Linked DNA regions of Pelodiscus sinensis. The protein of the gene in region 1 interacts with the protein of each later gene in a pairwise test. Links are inferred from orthologs where the notes say so. Each region holds a gene or a part of one and is shown in the gene's direction. Other genes may lie near its edges. The genes, in order: CTNNA3 and PKP3.

Region 1 (8,891 bases):
GGCTTTCTGGAAATCTAAGTACACTATATCTACTGGATCCCCCTTGTCCACATGTTTGTTGACCCCTTCAAAGAACTCTAATAGATTAGTAAAACATGATTTCCCTTTACAGAAACTATGTTGACTTTTGTCCACCAAATTAATGTTCTTCTATGTGTCTGACACTTTTATTCTTTCCTATTGTTTCAACTAATTTGCCCGGTACTGACATTAGACTTACCGGTCTGTAATTGCCAGGATCGCCTCTAGAGCCCTTTTTAAATATTTGCGTTACATTAGCAATCTTCCAGTTGTTGGGTACAGAAGCTGATTTAAAGGATAGGTTACAAACCATAGTTAATAGTTCTGCAATTTCACATTTGAGTTCTTTCAGAACTCTTGGGTGAATGCCATCTGGTACCAGTGACTTGTTATTGTTAAGTATATCAATTAATTCCAAAACCTCCTCTAATGACGCTTCAATCTGGGACAAGTCCTCAGATTTGTCACCTACAAAGGATGGGTCAGGTCTGGGAATCTCCCGAACATCCTCAGCCATGAAGGCTAAAGCAAAGAATTCATTTAGTTTCTCTGCAATGGCGTTATCATATTTACGTGCTCCTTTTGTATCTCAATTGTCCAGGGGCCCCACTGGTTGTTTAGCAGGCTTCCTGCTTCTGATGTACATAAAAAACATTTTGTTATTATTGAGGTTTTGGCTTTTCTTATTACATTTTTACACTTAATTTGGCAGTGTTTATGTTCCTTTCTATTTACCTCCCTAGGATTTGACTTCCACTTTTTAAAAGATGCCTTTTTATCTCTCACTGCTTCTCGTACATGGTTGTTAAGCCACAGTGGCTCTTCTTAATTCTTCTACTATGTTTTTTAATTTGGGGTATACATTTAAGTTGGGGGTATACATTTAATAGACACCTCTATTATGGTGTCTTTGAAAAGTGTCCATGCAGGGATTTTACTTTAGTCACTGTACCTTTTAATTTCTGTTTAATTAACCTTCTCATTTTTGCATAGTTCCCCTTTTTGAAATTAAATGCCACAGTGTTGGGCTGCTAAGGTGTTCTTCCCACCACAGGAATGTTAAATGTTATTATATTATGATCACTATTTCCAAGCGGTCCTGTTATAGTTACGTCTTGTACCAGATCCTGCACACCACTCAGGACTAAATCGAGAATTGCCTCTCCCCTTGTGGGTTCCTATACCAGCTGCTCCAAGAAGCAGTCATTTAAGGTATCAAGAAATTTTATCTTTTCATCTTATCCTGAGGTGACGTATACCTAGTCAATATGGGGACAGTTGAAATCCCCCACTATTATTGAGTTTTTTATTTTGATAGCCTCTCTAATCTCCCTTAGCATTTCATAGTCACTATTACTGTCCTGGTCAGGTGGTCAGTAATAGATCCCTACTGTTATATTCTTATTAGAGCAGGGAATTACTATCCATAGCAATTCTATGGAACATGTTGATTCATTTAAGATTTTGACTTCAGTTGATTCTAAATTTTCTTTCACATATAGTGCCACTCCCTCACCCGCATGACCTTCCGATATATTTTGTACCCTGGAATGAATGTGCCCTATTGATTGTCCTCACTCCACCAGGTTTCTGTGATGCCTATTATATCAGTATCCTCCTTTAAAACGAGGCACTCTAGACTTCTAGCATTTGTGTACAAGCACTTTAAAAACTTGTCACTGTTTATTTGTCTGCCCTTTTCTGATGTGTCAGATTCTTTTTTATGTGAATGCTTTTCATCTGATCTGGCCAATACTTTATCCTCTTCCATCCTCTCCTCCTGACTAAAACCTAGAGAATCTCTTTCAATAGGCTCTCCTCTAAGAGACATCTCTGTCCGATCCACGTGCTCCTCTGCAACAATCAGCTTTCCCCCATCTCTTAGTTTAAAAACTGCTCTGTGACCTTTTTAATGTTATGTGCCAGCAGTCTGGATCCACTATGGTTTAGGTGGAGCCCATCCTTCCTGTATAGGCTCCCTCCATCCCAAAAGTTTCCCCAGTTTCTTATAAAGCTAACCCCACCTCCCTACACCATTGTCTCATCCACTCATTGAGATGCTGAAGCTCTGCCTGCCTACCTGTCCCTAGATTTCAAACCTTTAGAAGCTCACAGCTTCCAACTGCCAGCCACAGCACACGCTCCTTCAAACAAACAAGCAAACACAATAAACAGACAAACACAAGCTCAGCACACAGTAAGTAACCCCCAAACACACAAACACACTCTACAGACAGCCACTTACCTCAAGGGTCCCGTACTTGCTCCTCCTTTACCTGGAGAACTCCCTCTCAAAACTCCCTGTTTGCTGCTCCCGTTCGCCAAAAAAAAAATTGCGGAGTGTATTTTGCGTACCTTTTTCTGATAGATCATTGAAGTATAGACAAAGACTCAGTCTCACGGATGCAGTGTCACCTATCTGCCCTACTCCCTCATCTGCTCATATGTCTAATGCTGCCTTTAGCCGTATTGACCACAGCATCGCTTTAGAAGCTTCTATTGAGCAACTTGCCTAACAGGACCCCTACATCCTCCTCAGAGACACTGCTTGTGTCCCTCATTCCAGGGGTGTGGCCTGCATGCTTTGGGACTGAGGTAGGGCCTTGCATTTGGCTCTGTGAAAACCTGTTCTGTTCACATGGGTCCAGCTTCCTAAGGGATCCAGATCGTTCTATGTCACTGCCCTGGCTCCAGCCTTATTTACCACGCTGCTTGCATTTTGTCACCTGCACATGTTACAAGCAGTGATTTAATGCTTTCTTCCACTTCACAAATAACAATAATTAAAAAAGTTAATTTTTGAGAACTTCTTTAGACCCTTAGCACCTTCTCTGAATCTTTTTCCATCCCACTGTCTGCTTTTTTAGACATTTCACTCAAAACTGGACAGAATACTCTGGATGTAGGCATTCCATGGATTTATATAGTAGCAGGATGGGATTTTCTGTTTTATTTTCTATCCCTTTCCTAATAATCCTTAATATACCGATAACCTTTGTAAATGCTGCTGCGCAAGGAGTAGAAGTTTTCAGAGAATTACCCATGGTGACTCCAACATCTTTTGCTAGCATAAAAGCTATTTTAGAACCCATCATTATATAAATATAGATGGGATTATCTTTTCCAAAGTACATTTCTTTGCACTTCTTTGGGCATGTCTACACTTGGAAATTATTTTGAAATAACTCCCAAAAGAATTATTTTGAAATAGCGTGTCCACACTACAGGGAATTCTTGAAATTAGTCCCAGGAAGCCTCCTTTAATATGGATGTGCTACCTCGACTTAGAACCCCAGGAAGCACTGGGGAGTAATTACTTTGAATGACTCTGAGGAGTAATTATTTAGAAATAGCAGCAGTGAAGCATCCACACTCACGCTATTTCAGAATAACTGTTATTCCTCATGGAAAGCAGGAGTTGTTATTTCAAAATAACCAGCCCGTTATTGTGAAGTAACAGGCTTGGTTGTGTGGATGCTCCACTTGTTATTTCGAAATAAGGAGAACGTAGGCCAGGGCTCAATGTTGAATTTCAGTTGCCATTTTGTTGCCTAGGAACTCAGAATTGTGAGATCCCTTTTTAGCTCTTTACAGTCTGCTTTGGCCTTAATATTCATGAATATTTTTTGTATCATCTGCAAACTTTGCCACTTCCCTGTTCACTTCCCTGTCTAGGGTATTTCCCCCCGCCCAGTACAGATCCATAGAGGGAATCCATTGGTCACCCCCTCCTTTGTGAGCTTCTATGAGCCATATACCACCTGTGGTCTGTCTATGCCAGAGCTAAGAGCTCTTTAAAGTGGACAAGTGGGGCAGGTAGACAGAGATCCTGGAGGAACAGAACTTGGGCTCAGTAACTTTGTATATGATCAGCCAATCTCTTTCAGGGGTTTACCTTTAGCTCAGCCTTACAGGAAAACTTGTTTGTGCCCACAGTACTGCGCTGTTGTGGCTATTAAATCTCCCCCTCATGAATCTGTTTTGTACCCTCCACCCTTCTATTGAATCCCACAAGAAAATCCCGCATCCAAGCCATTGTTCTCAAGTGCTTAGCTCCTAGTGCCACATGGTAACACTTTTGCACCAGCTGGCTCCAAAATCAGACATCATTATCTTGCAAGCAGGCAGTTGATGATGCGTGGACACAAGCCGTGGAAGGAAAGATACCATGGTGCTTGTGCTTTTCATTTGGAAATTCAGGTCCAAAGTCAACTTGACCGCATGTTTTGCTGGGGAAAGTCACTCACAAGCCCTAGACAGCACGGCACTGTGCCACAGCCTTGTGGCATTGGGGTGTGCTCTGGTCATTTCCCACAAGCTGAGCAGGGCTGGCACCAGGCAGAGGGAAAACCGAGATGCTGATGAGTCTCTCTGAGCTAGCACATTGAGGCAATGCAGCAGAGGGGCTGTAGCAGGGCAGAGAGCTGTTGCAGGTGCCCTTACAGAGGGGTTATAAAATGTAAGATCTTGGCCATCTGTGGCCATAGAGTGTCCCAGGGATTCTTCTCCCTCCCAGACAGAGAGGCCCTAGTCAGACTCCACACCCTTCCACACTCCAGGAGGTACCATAATATCCAGAATAGAAGCAGGAGCACAAAACAATAGGCATCTCTCTTAAGCTGCCTCAGCAGTAGGTAAAGTACAGTGTGGTGCAGATGAACTGTTCTGGCCCAGTTGGGATGGGGCTTAACTTCAGCTAGTCAAGGGATGTCCCAACACTTGCACTACATCCCTCACATGCAGTTTTGATGCCACCCAGGATGCGAATAGGTTGATTGTTTAAGAAGGAGGCTTTCACACTGACAATTCAGTGACTGATGGATGGGGTCATCTCATTTCTTCGGAAGTGAAGTTGTAATTTCTCCCAGTTGTTGAACCTCCAGCCTTCCCTGAGAGTTCCAGCCTGCATTATCAGAGAGCTGCCTCATTTAATTGCTTCAGTGCCAGCCTGGTAGCCAACATGCCACCCTTGGGAGGTGGAAGTGGATACAACTGGAAGCAGAGGAGTAAGGCAAAGACAGCCAGGGATGCAGCAGCCAGTGTTGGCTGGAGAGTGGTGATGAAGGCAAGCTGGCTGCCTTAATGCCACAGGAGATTAGTGGATTTCTTTCTTGATATTGAAGTGATGGGCAGGATTCACCTATTTGCTCCGGTTGCTTTGCACTATTTTAGCCCCACTCAGCAGCCCTCCACCCATCTGGAGCCCTGAGATAGTCCAGAAGGAGGCAGGAGTAAGAAACCCACAGCTGTAGGGCCCTGGCTTGTTAGACAAAGGCTCATGGAGGGGAGGATTCAGGAATTAGCTGGAGCATGTCAGCACCCCACAGGCCCAGGTGAGGCCTATAAGAGGGGAAAGTGAAGCCAGAGGGGAAGCTGCTTGCTGAGAATGTTGGGGGCTGAGGGCAATTGCTGTGGGAGAACAGCTTGGGATCTGTTTGGACACTGAGCAGAGGGGACCTGCAACGCAGCCTGTTCTGACTCTGGCATGGTGCTACTTAGTTTGGAAGGAGCTGGGTTGAAGGCTGCAGGTGAGTCTCAGATGTTTGAAGCAGTCTCATGGAAATGAGTCTTTTAAAGATTTCACGTGTTGCCAATCGCACTATGTCCTGCCCCCAGGGAGTGTGAGTCTGCTCTGTCTCCTAGGCACCCTTCCCTGCTGAGCCACCTCTCCGGCCAGTTTGGCTAAAGCCCCTGCCGTCAGGTTCCCTGGGCCCTGTTTAGTACATGCTTAGGGCTTAGCCCCTTCCTGCCTGTACTGCAGCTGGAAGACAAGAGGCAGCTGGGCTATGTCAGTAGCCAGCAGCAGCTTGAAGGTGTTAGCTGCCTTTCTACACTGTGTGGGTAGGAAGGGACAAGCTGCTTCCAGGCATTGAGGAGCAGAGGGAAGGAGGAGATGACCTCTGGAAAAACATGGGCCAGTTCATCCCTCTCTCAACTCCCACCTCCATTCTGCTGGAAGCTCCTTCCATCCGTTCCCTCCTGCACAGTGTTGATCGGCTGCTGCTTGCCATGCTCTGCCATAAACCCCAACAGAAATCAGAGAAGGGTTCCTGTAACCCTGCATACCTCCTCCCCCACATGTTGTCTTGAGAAGATGCAGCACCAGATGTCAGGAGAGATGAGTCCATCCCAGGGACTGTCAGGCAAGGAGGGTGGAGAGCACTGAACAGGGTGAGGTTGGTCGGTCACCCCATCCTGATGTGAGAGAGACGTAGGGAATATGTGTGTGTCATCTCTCCCTGTGCAAACCTTAAACATAAGGTAAATAAAAAGACTCCAGCTGTGCAGTTTTTATTTTCAACAGGAGTGCAGTCAGTCTGAAGTTAATTTGAAAATTTGTATTGTATAATTCTGATGGATTCCTATTCAACTCACTTGAATTGGAGTAATTTTACCAGGCGTCGTGTATTCAGCATTGGGAAATATGGTCACCCTGTCCATACCAATCACAATTTTATATGCCTCAATCATATCTCCCCTTAGTTGTCTCTTTTCCAAGCTGAAAAGTTCCAGTCTTATCTCTCCTCATATGGCACATTTTCATATCTCTCATTTCTGCTGCCCTTTTCTGAACCTTTTTTCCAGTGCTAAGATATCTATTTTGAGATGAGGTGACCACATTTGCATGCAGTATTAAATATATGGGCACACCATGGATTGTTATAGAGGCAGTGTGATATTTTTCTCTTATTTATCTCTTTCTTAAAGACGTTGTAGAAAAACTTACTTCATGTCCTCTAGTTCTTCAAAATAAATAAGAATACTGCTCCATTTTTAATTGTGCTCCATTTTTAATTGTATCTTGAAATATTTCTACTTTTGTATATAGCTTTAAGGATGCCCAGCCCCCACTAGCAGCCACTGTACCCTGTCAGTCATCCTGAAATACACTAGAGTGCTTGTCAGGCCATGAGGTCGCAGATGCACCATTAGCTATAATAGTTGTACTGAAGTCCTAAGTACTTTTCCTGGTGTTTAGACCATTGCTTTCCTCTTGAATGTGGACGGTTTGTGTTTGGGATAGGTGAGTTATGAGGCATTATCTTTTTAATATAATTTGTGATGATTTAGCAATCAAACTTCTAATGATTATATATTAGAAAGATTAGCGTATTTTTGGTCCCAGTTTCTGTTGTTACAATATTTTATTTAAATTAAAGAGTATCCAAATTGTACTTCAGAACTTCTCTAACAATTATCATTTGTATAGTTGAATTTTATTTCAGGCCACAGAACTTTTTTGCTTTTCTTTCTTTTTACTTGCCTCTTAGTTCAATATATCTATAAAAGGTATGTCAGTTTGGACAAGCTGTTCTTGATCATTCTTGATAAGACGACATCATAAAAGTTAGCACTTAGCTTAAAGTATACCATTGTGTAAGAATGCAGGTTGTTTTTTGGTTCCACAGACAGGAATACTCTATTTCCATAACACCTAAAAGTCATGTCTACGGTTCTGTATTATGAAATGTTGCAATATACTGGTGAAATGGATAAGTGTATAGATTAATAAAGTTGAGTTCCAAGTTATAGTAGCCTGGCATCATAGTATCTTATAACCAACAGTCCTATTGTGTCCAAAGGGCATACTGTGCTGGAGTAGTTCTTTTGTTTTTATTAACAAAGGGCTGTGATCTCAGTAGAAATGCTCACCTGGAAAAGTTGTTTATTCGTTGAAGAGGCAAGATAGTCCCAGTTACAAGTGATTCTTTTGGAGATACAAATCAGAAAGTATCTTGGGTTATTTCCCCCATTACCTCTATGCTTTGCTCTTTGATATGTTTCTAATCCATAAGAATGCTCCCAATTAATAACATAACAGTCATGTTTCCACTCATGTATGTTATGAATATGTCTATGGGTCAGAGCTGAGGATTCAAAAGTTTGTAAGCAATGCTGTGAAAACTGTGCTAACTGAAAACTGCTAAGATTTTGCATCATGAGCTTTGGTGGGCAAAACCCACTTCTTCAGATGAACTCAAACTCATCTGAAGAAGTGGGTTTTGCCCACCAAAGCTCACGATACTATATATACTTTTGTTAATTTCTAAGGGCATGTCTACACTAGAAAATAATTTCAAAAGAAGTTAAATCAAATTAATATATGAAATAACATTGAAATAGAGCATCCACATTATAGGGGAACATCGAAATAGCTCAGAATAATTTTAAAATAGTGCGTCCACACTGATTGGAGCCTTCTTCAGATTTAGATCCCCCAGAAGCACTCTGAGGAAGGCACCAAGAGGGCAGACACTTCCTGTGGCTGCTTGATATGGGAAGCTGCGACACATGCTTTCAGGGGCTCCTCTCTATGGCCGCATCTCTCACACCACTCCTACATTGCCTCCACCATCACAGGACTCCAAATTGATGCAGTGTGCCCTGGTTGCCCTTGTGGATGCCACAGCATTGACATCATGGAGCCAGAGTTGCCTCATGGGCCTCATGCTGCACTTCCTGGCACAGTTCTTCCAGATAGTTTGCATGCTGCTCCAGCAGGATGACATCTAGCCCAAACACGAGGATCCCTTCACTCACATCCTGGTGTTCCTGCTGCTGCAAATGTTCCTAAACCCCTGGACACCATCAGACGCCGCTTCTGGTGGAGGGAGATCAGTTCAGACTGCTGGGACTACATAGTCCTGCAGTCATAAAATGACCAGCAGCAGTTTCAGAACTTCCATACGTGAAAGGCCACTTCCTGGAGCTCTGCAAGTAGCTCACCCCTTCCCCCAGATGACAGGACACCTGACTGCAACCTGCCATCCCCCTACAGCAGTGGTCTCCAACCTTTTTACACCCAAGATCATTTTTTAAATGACAGACCAAGCCAAGATCTACCGCCCCGCCCCTTCCCTGAAGCCCCG
Region 2 (8,715 bases), on another chromosome or scaffold:
GATGTTTTGTTCCTGTTGTTTTTGAAAGGGGCTTTAAAAAAAATCTCTTCAAACTTTTCCCATTGACATTTCTTCACTTTTAAACTTAGAATTTTCTAAAACATGTCAACACTTTATCATCGAAATGTCCTGATGGTGAAATCCTTTCCCCTCCCCCTCACTATGCCCAAAAGAATTAATTTACAAAAAGAGCACGTGTCTAAGGTGATCAATCAAAACTGCAGATGATGAAACAAAACAAAGTTTTTGAAAAAAAGGAAAATTCCAAGAAAACTGGAATAATTTTGTAAACATATATTTTAAAGGCCATTGTATCTGTACTTTCAAATTGCTATTTAAAAAATTACAACAGCTCTATTTTAAGGGAGGTTGCTACCAAGGAGTTAATTAAGCACAGGCTAGACACCCAACTATTAGGGACCAGATGGCTTCCTCATAGAACCACAGTCACAAGAACCAAGGGAACTGGGCGGGACAGTGACTTCCTTGATCTAACAAAGGCTAATGATGGGATGTCACTGGGGACCCAGCCCTCTCCTGTCCCTGGGGAATAAATGGTGCCAGGAAGGCCTGTAATGATCCCATGAGAAAGCAGTCGATGTCACAAAGATGACAGGGCAGGAAATGTCAGGAGAGAAGGTGTAATTGGCCAGAGAGGGGGAAGCCCCTTTTGCCTCTTTCCAAGTCCACTCAGAAGTCAGTGGCTTGGACAGTTGAGTTGGAAGGGGAGCATTAGTGCTGCTACCTAGGAGCCCCTGAGGAGAAAGAGGGAAAGAGAAAGGTCTGGTGCGTGGACCTTGCAATGATGAGAGTGGATACCGGAGGGTCTTTGAGCGTCTCCTACAGGCGGGTGAGTATCATTATCCCTATGACAAGCCAACTGGGCACTTCATGAGCAGTACTGACTCCAAGGAGGCTGCTCTGCTTTGCACCAGCTGAGGAGCTGGCCCCACGTAAGTCTCCAGAGGGGGTTAGGTAGTGGGGAAAAGAGGTTTCCAGCTCAGCCTCGCTCGGACATCCCAAGTGCAGCATCTGGAGGGGCTGCGAAGCCTGCAGCTCAGGTTGGCTCCTTGCTTTCCGGCTCGTCAGCAGGGAGAAGTCTGCCCGGCATTTGCAAGAGACGTGGGGGTTTGCACAGAAGATTCCAGAATCATTCACCCGCTGGCGGCTTATGAAACCCTCCTGCCATTGACTCACTGTTGGGCCTTTGCCAGCCCGTTGCAGCCCCGAGCGACAGGCTAAGTGCAGGGCGCACAGAGACAGCGCTACCTGGCTGTGGCTTTCCTCGCATTCGACTGTAGCAGGAGGGAGGGTGCCAGACTGGCAGCCCGATTTCACTCTAGGCCAGGTTCAGGCCGGGGCAGCGTGGGAAGGAGTCCAGGCTTGTTCTGACAGGAGGGGTGTGTTCTAGGAGGAGGCTCAGAACGCCAGCCCCTGGACGGCGATCACCTCACACAAGCTAGCGAAGACCCGGCCGGCAGCAAACTCATTCTTTGTGCCCCGGCTGAGCTGGCCTCGAACCACAGGCCCGGTGGCGACAGGCCCTGCAGCCCAGCATTCCCCTGTGAATCTGGAGCCCTGGCCATAAGCTTGGCCTTCCTCCGCAGGGCGCCTTGGCCTTTGGCCCCCTGGCTTAGCAAGGAGGGGCAGTGCGAGGCGAGGGAGCCAGGGCATCAGCCACAGACTGTTGGTTCCGGTTGCCATTTCGGACTCAGAACCTACTTGCCAGGTGCCTGGGAATCTGGCCCTGGAGCAAAAGCCCAGTTGCTGTTGGTAGCAAGTGTTGACAGGCCGGTGGCCCCTGCCTGTTGTGCTGGGTGTGCACACGTACAGGGGGCTACCAGCCCATCCCCGGGGGTGATGGAGGCCTGGGGAACGGGCAAGGTGAAAACCAAACCCAAGGGAGGGATTTTGGTGAATTCCTGCCACTGCCAAACACCCCCGAGTCCCAAAGGTGTTTGTGCTGTGGAGTTGGCTACACTGGCCCGGCTTGGCCTCGGTTTCAGGTTTGGCAGTCGTGGGTGGTGGGCTAAACTCTTACGGCTGTGTGCCCGCACCGGTTCAGCAGCAAGCCCAGCCCGAGCCTGGAGACCTTCGGTTCAAGCTGTCAGGGGCCTGGCTGGAGCCACGGCTCTCGGAGAAGCTGCTGAGCACAGCAAGGCCCAGTCTGCACCCGTAGGGACGGCAGCTGTCCCACTTCTGGCACCTGCTCTCGGCATGAAGAACCATTTCCAGGATAGGCCAAGCCCTGGCTGCACTCCTGCCCACGAGCGCCGGGGGAGCTCCCTTGAGCTCTGTCCTGCCCCTTCCTCTGCCCCACCCCTTCCTCTGCACAGGCCATCTCTGCCCTGGCGGGACAGTGGGGCAGTCTCCCAGGCTGCATGCATCTAAACTATTGCCTCCCGAATGCCACTCAGGGGGCCCCTGTTGCGGGGGGCGTTGGCTTATCCTTTGGGTCTCTGCCACCAGAGACGGGCCGTTCAGAGTGACTAATGTGAGCGTCACTTCCAAGCCGGCCCTTTGGGCGGCGCGCCACAGGTTGGGCTTCTTTCAAAGGTGGCTTCTCTTGAGTTGCACAACACACCCTGGTCCAGCCCCTCCACCCTGGGGACGCCATCACTGACATTCCCTCGCAGCCGGGTGTCATGTTCTCTTGCCCAGAAAGCGGGTGCCGCGGCACATTCTTCTGATCTTAGGGCCATCACCAGGATTCTCTTGCAATGGGCAGCCCATCCACAGGCAGACTGGGAAAGCCTTCAGCCTCCCAGGCCCTGGGCGATTCCTGACATCTCCTCCTCCCGCCGCAGCATAGCAGGGTGCAGCACGCACCTGCCGTCCATGCGGCGTTCCAGCATCATCACTTCTGCTGAGAGGCACCACCCTGTCGTAGGCTGGGCCATCACTGCAGCCTCTAAGCACTTCCCAGAGAACAGCTGTCCTCTTGGTCACCAGCAGGAGCAGGGAACATGGGCAGCTCGGGTGACACCCGGCAGATTGTCTCTACGTAGCCAGACCTGTGGGGGAGCGTCCGGCCCGTCTGCCTGGCCACTTCCCAGCTCACTTCCCCCTCCATTCCCAGGTGCCAGCCACCGGCCCCCTCTCTCTGTGTGAGCACGAGGCGGGAGAAATGCTCCTGGGTTTATTGCCCTGTCGTATTGGGCACCCCAAGCACTTGGGTGCAGCAGGGGCTGCTCTCAAGACATGCTCCTCCGTCTCTTGCACAGTGGGCTTGGCGAAGGCTGGGTTGCCCCAGAAGACCAGGCCTGAGCAGTTCAGAGGGCTGGCTGCCCATGGCTCCGACCGGCTTGGCGTGTGGAAACCCCAGCTTTCCGTGAAGGGGTCTGCACATGGCTCCCAGTGAATCCCGGGCCTGCAAACAGGCTCCTCTGACTACTGGAAGCCTGAGTGCTTAGGGGACCGTCGCATACGAGGTTCTTCCAACCCCAGCACAGGCCCCTTCCCGTTGCAGCTGCCTTCCCAGGTTGCGCACGAGCTGGTCTTTGTGTGGGCTGCAGGACAGCTGGAGCCGTGTGCACCATGGAAAGCACGTGGGGCTCGGTCTCCCTGCTGCGAAAGGGGCACCGGGCCTGCTCCTAGAGCCAGGGAGTGCTGTGGGGGCGCCGGGCTCGGGCCCTCACTGGGCAGCTTTACGTCCTCCCTGTCTCTCAGCTGATGTGGCTTTTCAGTTAAGGCTGCTGCTTGCTAGATCCTCCAGCCCCAGGCCCATGACAGATACAAGCTGACTTCTGGGCATCAACGCCACCCCCGAGGATCCCGCAGGGACCGACGAACTTATCTACACGCCTCCTTCTGCAAAGCCCAGCTATCCCACTGACTTCATCCCTACCACTGGCTGGAGAAAGGTAGCACCTCCCTGCCTCCCCGGTTCTCTGCCCCAGGCTTGGAGCAAAGCTCTTGGGAGGTTCATGGACACTCAGTTCTCTCCCCCGGTAGCTCTGACGCTCTTGGGTCTGAACCTCTAAGGTGGGGAAACTCTCTGAGAGGAGCTTTCTAGTGCGTCCGGCTGGGAACCCCCCTCGCATCTTCCATCCAGGCCTCTCGCCGCACGCCCAGGGGATGCTCTATGGCTGGCCAGCTGCCCTGGGGGGATTCCCAGCTGGACGCACTGGAAAGTTCCCCTCAGAGAGTTTCCCCGCCTCCAAGGTTCAGACCCAAGAGCGCCGGAGCCTTTTCGGGCTACCGAGGCCTTCGCGCCCTGTCTCCCTCTTCCTGCCTCCCTGCCTAGGCTGTGTGAAGTTTGAGCTCCTCCTGCCCTTCTAAGCTCTCTGTGCCCCCGCCCTGCCCGTGTCTGAGCCCTCCATGGTCCCTGGGCTCCACCCAAGCCTCCCTCCTGGCAGCCATCCCCCTTGCCCACTCCCGACAGCGCAGCTCCGCCCTCACCGCCCCGTCCAGTCAGAAAGGCCACCCAAGCAACTCAGGCTGGGCCCCGGGTGTCTACCCACGCAAAGCCCACCCTGTGCGCCTCTGTTTATCTTACCCTGCCGGCCTGCGCCCCAGGCTGCTGGCCCTCCCAGCTTGTTTGGCCCAGCTGCCCATTTACACAGAACCTACACAGGTGCCCTGTCAGCCTGCTGTATTAATAATGGGCCTAAGCTGCCCAAGAGGGAAGTGAGGGAGAGAAAGGGGAAAGGAGGCCTGGGAATGGGACCGAGATGCGTAGGCCAGGAGGGCCAATGGAGCGGAGTGTGAGAGGGGACTGATGGCCGGGGCTTGCCTCTTGTAAAGCGCCCAGGGCCATCGCCTGAAGCAATGTCCCAGCCTCCTCACAGATTCCTCTGTGGATGCCCAGCCCACGTGCCCGCACGTGTGAGTGTATCCAGGGCGGGCTGGGATGGCAGCTCCATGCAGGCCTTGCTCTCCTCCTGCGAAGCTCTGAGAGAGGCCTGCCGCCTCCCCAGCCCGTGCCAAGGTGCTCGCCGCGCAGCCAGCGCCCCTCGCAGCTACGTAAGCCGGGCTCCACCAAACCCCGGAGCGCACAAACTTGTCTGTGAGGCGATGATGCATTTTCCACCACACGCACGCAACAAAGGCACCGCAACCGGTTGGATCAGCTCAGCGGGTGTCGCCCACTCCCAGCCCAGTGTGCCAGTCGGCAGCCACAGCGACGGCACAGTTAGTTCGGTTGGCCCATCCGGCGGCGGAGGGGGAGATCTGCCTGGGACCACGGGGGGCGCTGGGCTCCGTCCGTCATCAGGAGAATGCTGCAGGGCACCCTGGGCTCCAGGCCGCTGGGCACCGTACGTCTCCGCCTTTTTTCTTTCTCTCTCTCTTGGCTCCCCCACTTCCTAAGGCTGCAGGATTTTCCAGCTCCAAGTCACTTGGATGCTGGGCTGCTGTGAGCCCCGTCTCCAAGGGAGTCTGCTCCTGTGCTTTGTGCTGGCTCCTGCGCTTCCCCTGGGGTGAGGTGGCCAGCTGGGGGGCGTGGGAGTCGGGGGTGCCACAGCCGGGGCAGGGACTTGAGGAGTGGGACTTGTGGTGGCCGTGTGCTGGCCTTGAGGCACTCGGGCCAGGCAGCGGATGCTTGGACCAGGCAGAAGAAAGGGTCAGAGCCCCACAGTGCTCCTGCTGTGGGTTTGCGAATGGCACAGAAGTGCCGGGGGTGGGGGAGAGGTGATAGCAGCTGACTCCCTAGGGCAAGGGCTAGTTGCACCTCCTGGGCCAGCGCCCAGGGATGCTTGTGGGGCTTTGACAGAGCAGGTCACAAGGGAGACAAGGCCCTGAGCGCCCAGTAACTTCCCAGCTCTGTGAAGGGCCAGTTGCTCCCCTCTCCGAGCATTGACTGTGCTGAGCCACCCCAGTGACTCTATCAGCCCTACTCGGGTGGGGGCTGCATAGCAAGGGCGGGGCCCGAGGTGGCTACCTCAGCTTGTGGGGCTGAGGGGACAGACCTCTCCGCTGGGAGCCACACGAGCTGGTTCCTGCACCTCAGCTGGGTACCCCTGGGCCTGTCACATCACTGCTCCCTGCCTCCGTTTCCACACTAGGCCTAGCGGTGCCGAGGCCAGAGCTCTGCTAGCTGTGCGGCCGCCACTGGGGGAAGAGGCAGGGCGGTGGGCAGAGATTGTGAAGCAGTTTGGGGGCTTCCCTGGCAGGAGCTGCAGGAGCCCTTTTGGCGCCTGGCTGCTCGTAGCTCGTGGCGGGTGCAGGTGACGCCTCCCCTCTGCACCCAACACCGCTGAGGAAAGGCGAAGCTGCAGTGGTCCCTGGCCGGAGTTCGAGCCGTGGGGCAGAAGTGGGGAGCACCAAGGGTGCAGCAGGTGGAGAAGGGAGGGAGAGGGAGTGTGGGCAAGTGAGCAAGCAGAAGGGGGACTAATGCGGGAGTCACTCTAGGCAGAGATGTGGCCAGACTGTTCTCCTGGCTCAGCACCGCTCAGTGGGGACAGTGGCCGGGCAGGCGGGGGCGGAGGGAGTGTGGGTTGGCTTTCAGTGCATCCCGGAGCTGTGCTCTGCCCCATGGTGGTGTGGGGGGGGGGTCATTCAGCTGTCCCTGACTAGACACTCTACCCACTCCCCAGCAGTTGCAGGCTCCTCCTCAGTGCAAAATGCCCTGCCTGGCAGCCCCACTGCACATACAGAGTCGGGCCCTCAGCCTCATGGAGGTCATAAGAATGGGTACGCGGGGTCAGAGCCATGGTCCGGCTAGCCCTGTCCTGTCTCCCGGTGCCAGGTGCTTCCAAGGGGGCAAACAGAACTGAGCAATTATCAAGTGCTCCATCCCCTGCCGTCCAGTCCCAGCCGCCGGCAGTCAGAGATTTAGGGGCATCTGGAGCAAAGTGTGGCATCCGTGACCATGCTGCTTAATCGTCAGTATAGACCTATCCTCTGTGAACATATCTCATTCTTTTGGAACCCCGTTCTACTTTTGGCTGTCACAACACCCATGGCAATCAGTTCTACGGGTCGTCTGTGCGTAGGATGAAGAAATACTCCCTTGACTTTGTTGTAAACCTGCTGCCTTTGAACTCATTGGGTGACCCCTGGTTCTTGTCTTATGTGAAGGGATAAATAATGCGTCTTTGTTCGCTTTCTCCACACCGGTCATGACTTTATAGACCTCTCACATATCCGTCCTTAGCCATCTCTTTTCTAAGCTAAACAGTCCCAGTCTCCTTAATCTCTCTTCATATGGAAGCTGTTCCAGACCCCTAATCATTATTTTTGTCCTTCTCTGTGTTGTTTCCAAGATCTTTTTGGAGGTGGGGTGACCAGAAACACACGCAGTGTTCAAGGTGTGAGTGTACCATGGATTGATACGGTGGCTTTTTCATACTTTTGTCTTACCATTCCCTTCCCTAACGGCTCCTAACATTTGGGTCGGTTTTTTTTCACTGCTGCGGCACATTGAGCAGACGTTTTCAGAGAACTATTCACAACGACTCCTGGATCATTCTTGAGTGACAACAGTGACTTTAGACCCCACCATTTTCTATGTGTCGTGGGGATTATGGTTTCTGTTGTGCATCGCTCTGCACTGATTAAGATTGAAAGTGATCTGCCATTTTCTTGCCCAGTCATGTGAATCTCCTTTGTAACTCTTCCTAGTCAGCTTTGGAATGAACTATCTCAGTAACTTTGTGTCTGCAAATTTTGCCACCTCACTGTTCACCCCTTTTTCAGATCACGTATGAATATGTCAAACAGCTCTAGCCCCAGGACAGATCCTGGGGGGACTCTGATATTTATCTCTCTCTACTATGAAAACGGACCATTTATTCCTACTCTTTCTTTCCTGTCTTTTAACCAGTTACTGATCCATGAAAGGACCTTCCCTCTTATCCCATGACTGAATTTGCTTAAGCACCTTTGGTGAGGGACCTTGACAAAGACTTTCTGAAAGTCCAAGTACACTAGAAACACTGGATCTTCCTTGTCCACATGTTTGTTGACACTCTCAAAGCATCCTAATAGATCGGTGAGGCGTGCCTCCCTTTCTAAAAGCCGTGTAGACTCTTCCTCAACAAATGTGTTCATCTCTGTGTCTGACAATTCTGTTCTTTACTCTAGTTTACAACCATTTGCTTGGTACTGAAGTTAGCTTTACCAACTTGCAATTGCAAGGATCCCCTCTGAACTTAAAAAATAAATGGTGCTACATTAGCAACCCTCCAGCCATCTGGAGCAGAAGCTGATTTAAGCATTAGGTCACTTACCACAGTAAGTAGTTCTGCAATTCCACAACTGAGTTCCTTCAGAACTCTTAGGTGAATGCCACATGGTTCTGGTGTCCTGATACTGTTTAATTTCTCAGTTTGTTCCAAAATCTGTTTTATTGTCACCTCAGTCTAGGACAGTTCCTCAGTTCAGTCTCCTCAGTTCAGTCTGCCCAACATCTGCAGTGAAGATGGATGCAAATAATTCATTTTGTTCCTCCTTAACGGCCTTATCACCTTGACTGTCCAGTGCCCCACCTGCCAATTTGGCAGCCTTCCTGCTTCTCATGTCCTTAAACTTGTCTTGCTCTTAGTATTTGTGTCTTTAGCTAGTTGCATTTCAAATTTGTTCTCAACCTGCCTTGTTATACCTTTACAGCTGCATTTTTCTGACATCTATTTTCCTCACTGCAATTTGACTTCCAATTTTCAAGGGTGCCTTTTTCAATCTAAGGACCTCTTTTACTCAGCTGTTTGATTCTGGTGCCATTTGGGGGAGAGGGCAGGTAATACACTTTGTTGCAGCCTCTTTTACGGTTTTTCA

What was found.
Region 2: the proteins of CTNNA3 (region 1) and PKP3 interact in a two-hybrid assay, tested with the Homo sapiens proteins (2 studies listed by IntAct). The link is inferred for Pelodiscus sinensis from reciprocal best matches to the Homo sapiens genes CTNNA3 and PKP3.

Annotation. Positions count from the first base shown.
Region 1 is NC_134718.1:27,638,466-27,647,356, reverse strand, and holds the start of CTNNA3 (catenin alpha-3), read left to right. Parts: upstream 1-5,407; 5' UTR 5,408-5,506; coding exon 5,507-5,549; intron 5,550-6,993; exon of another isoform or gene 6,994-7,045; intron 7,046-8,891. UniProt on the Homo sapiens protein: May be involved in formation of stretch-resistant cell-cell adhesion complexes.
Region 2 is NC_134714.1:123,836,244-123,844,958, reverse strand, and holds the start of PKP3 (plakophilin-3), read left to right. Parts: upstream 1-5,098; 5' UTR 5,099-5,219; coding exon 5,220-5,258; intron 5,259-8,715. UniProt on the Homo sapiens protein: A component of desmosome cell-cell junctions which are required for positive regulation of cellular adhesion. Required for the localization of DSG2, DSP and PKP2 to mature desmosome junctions.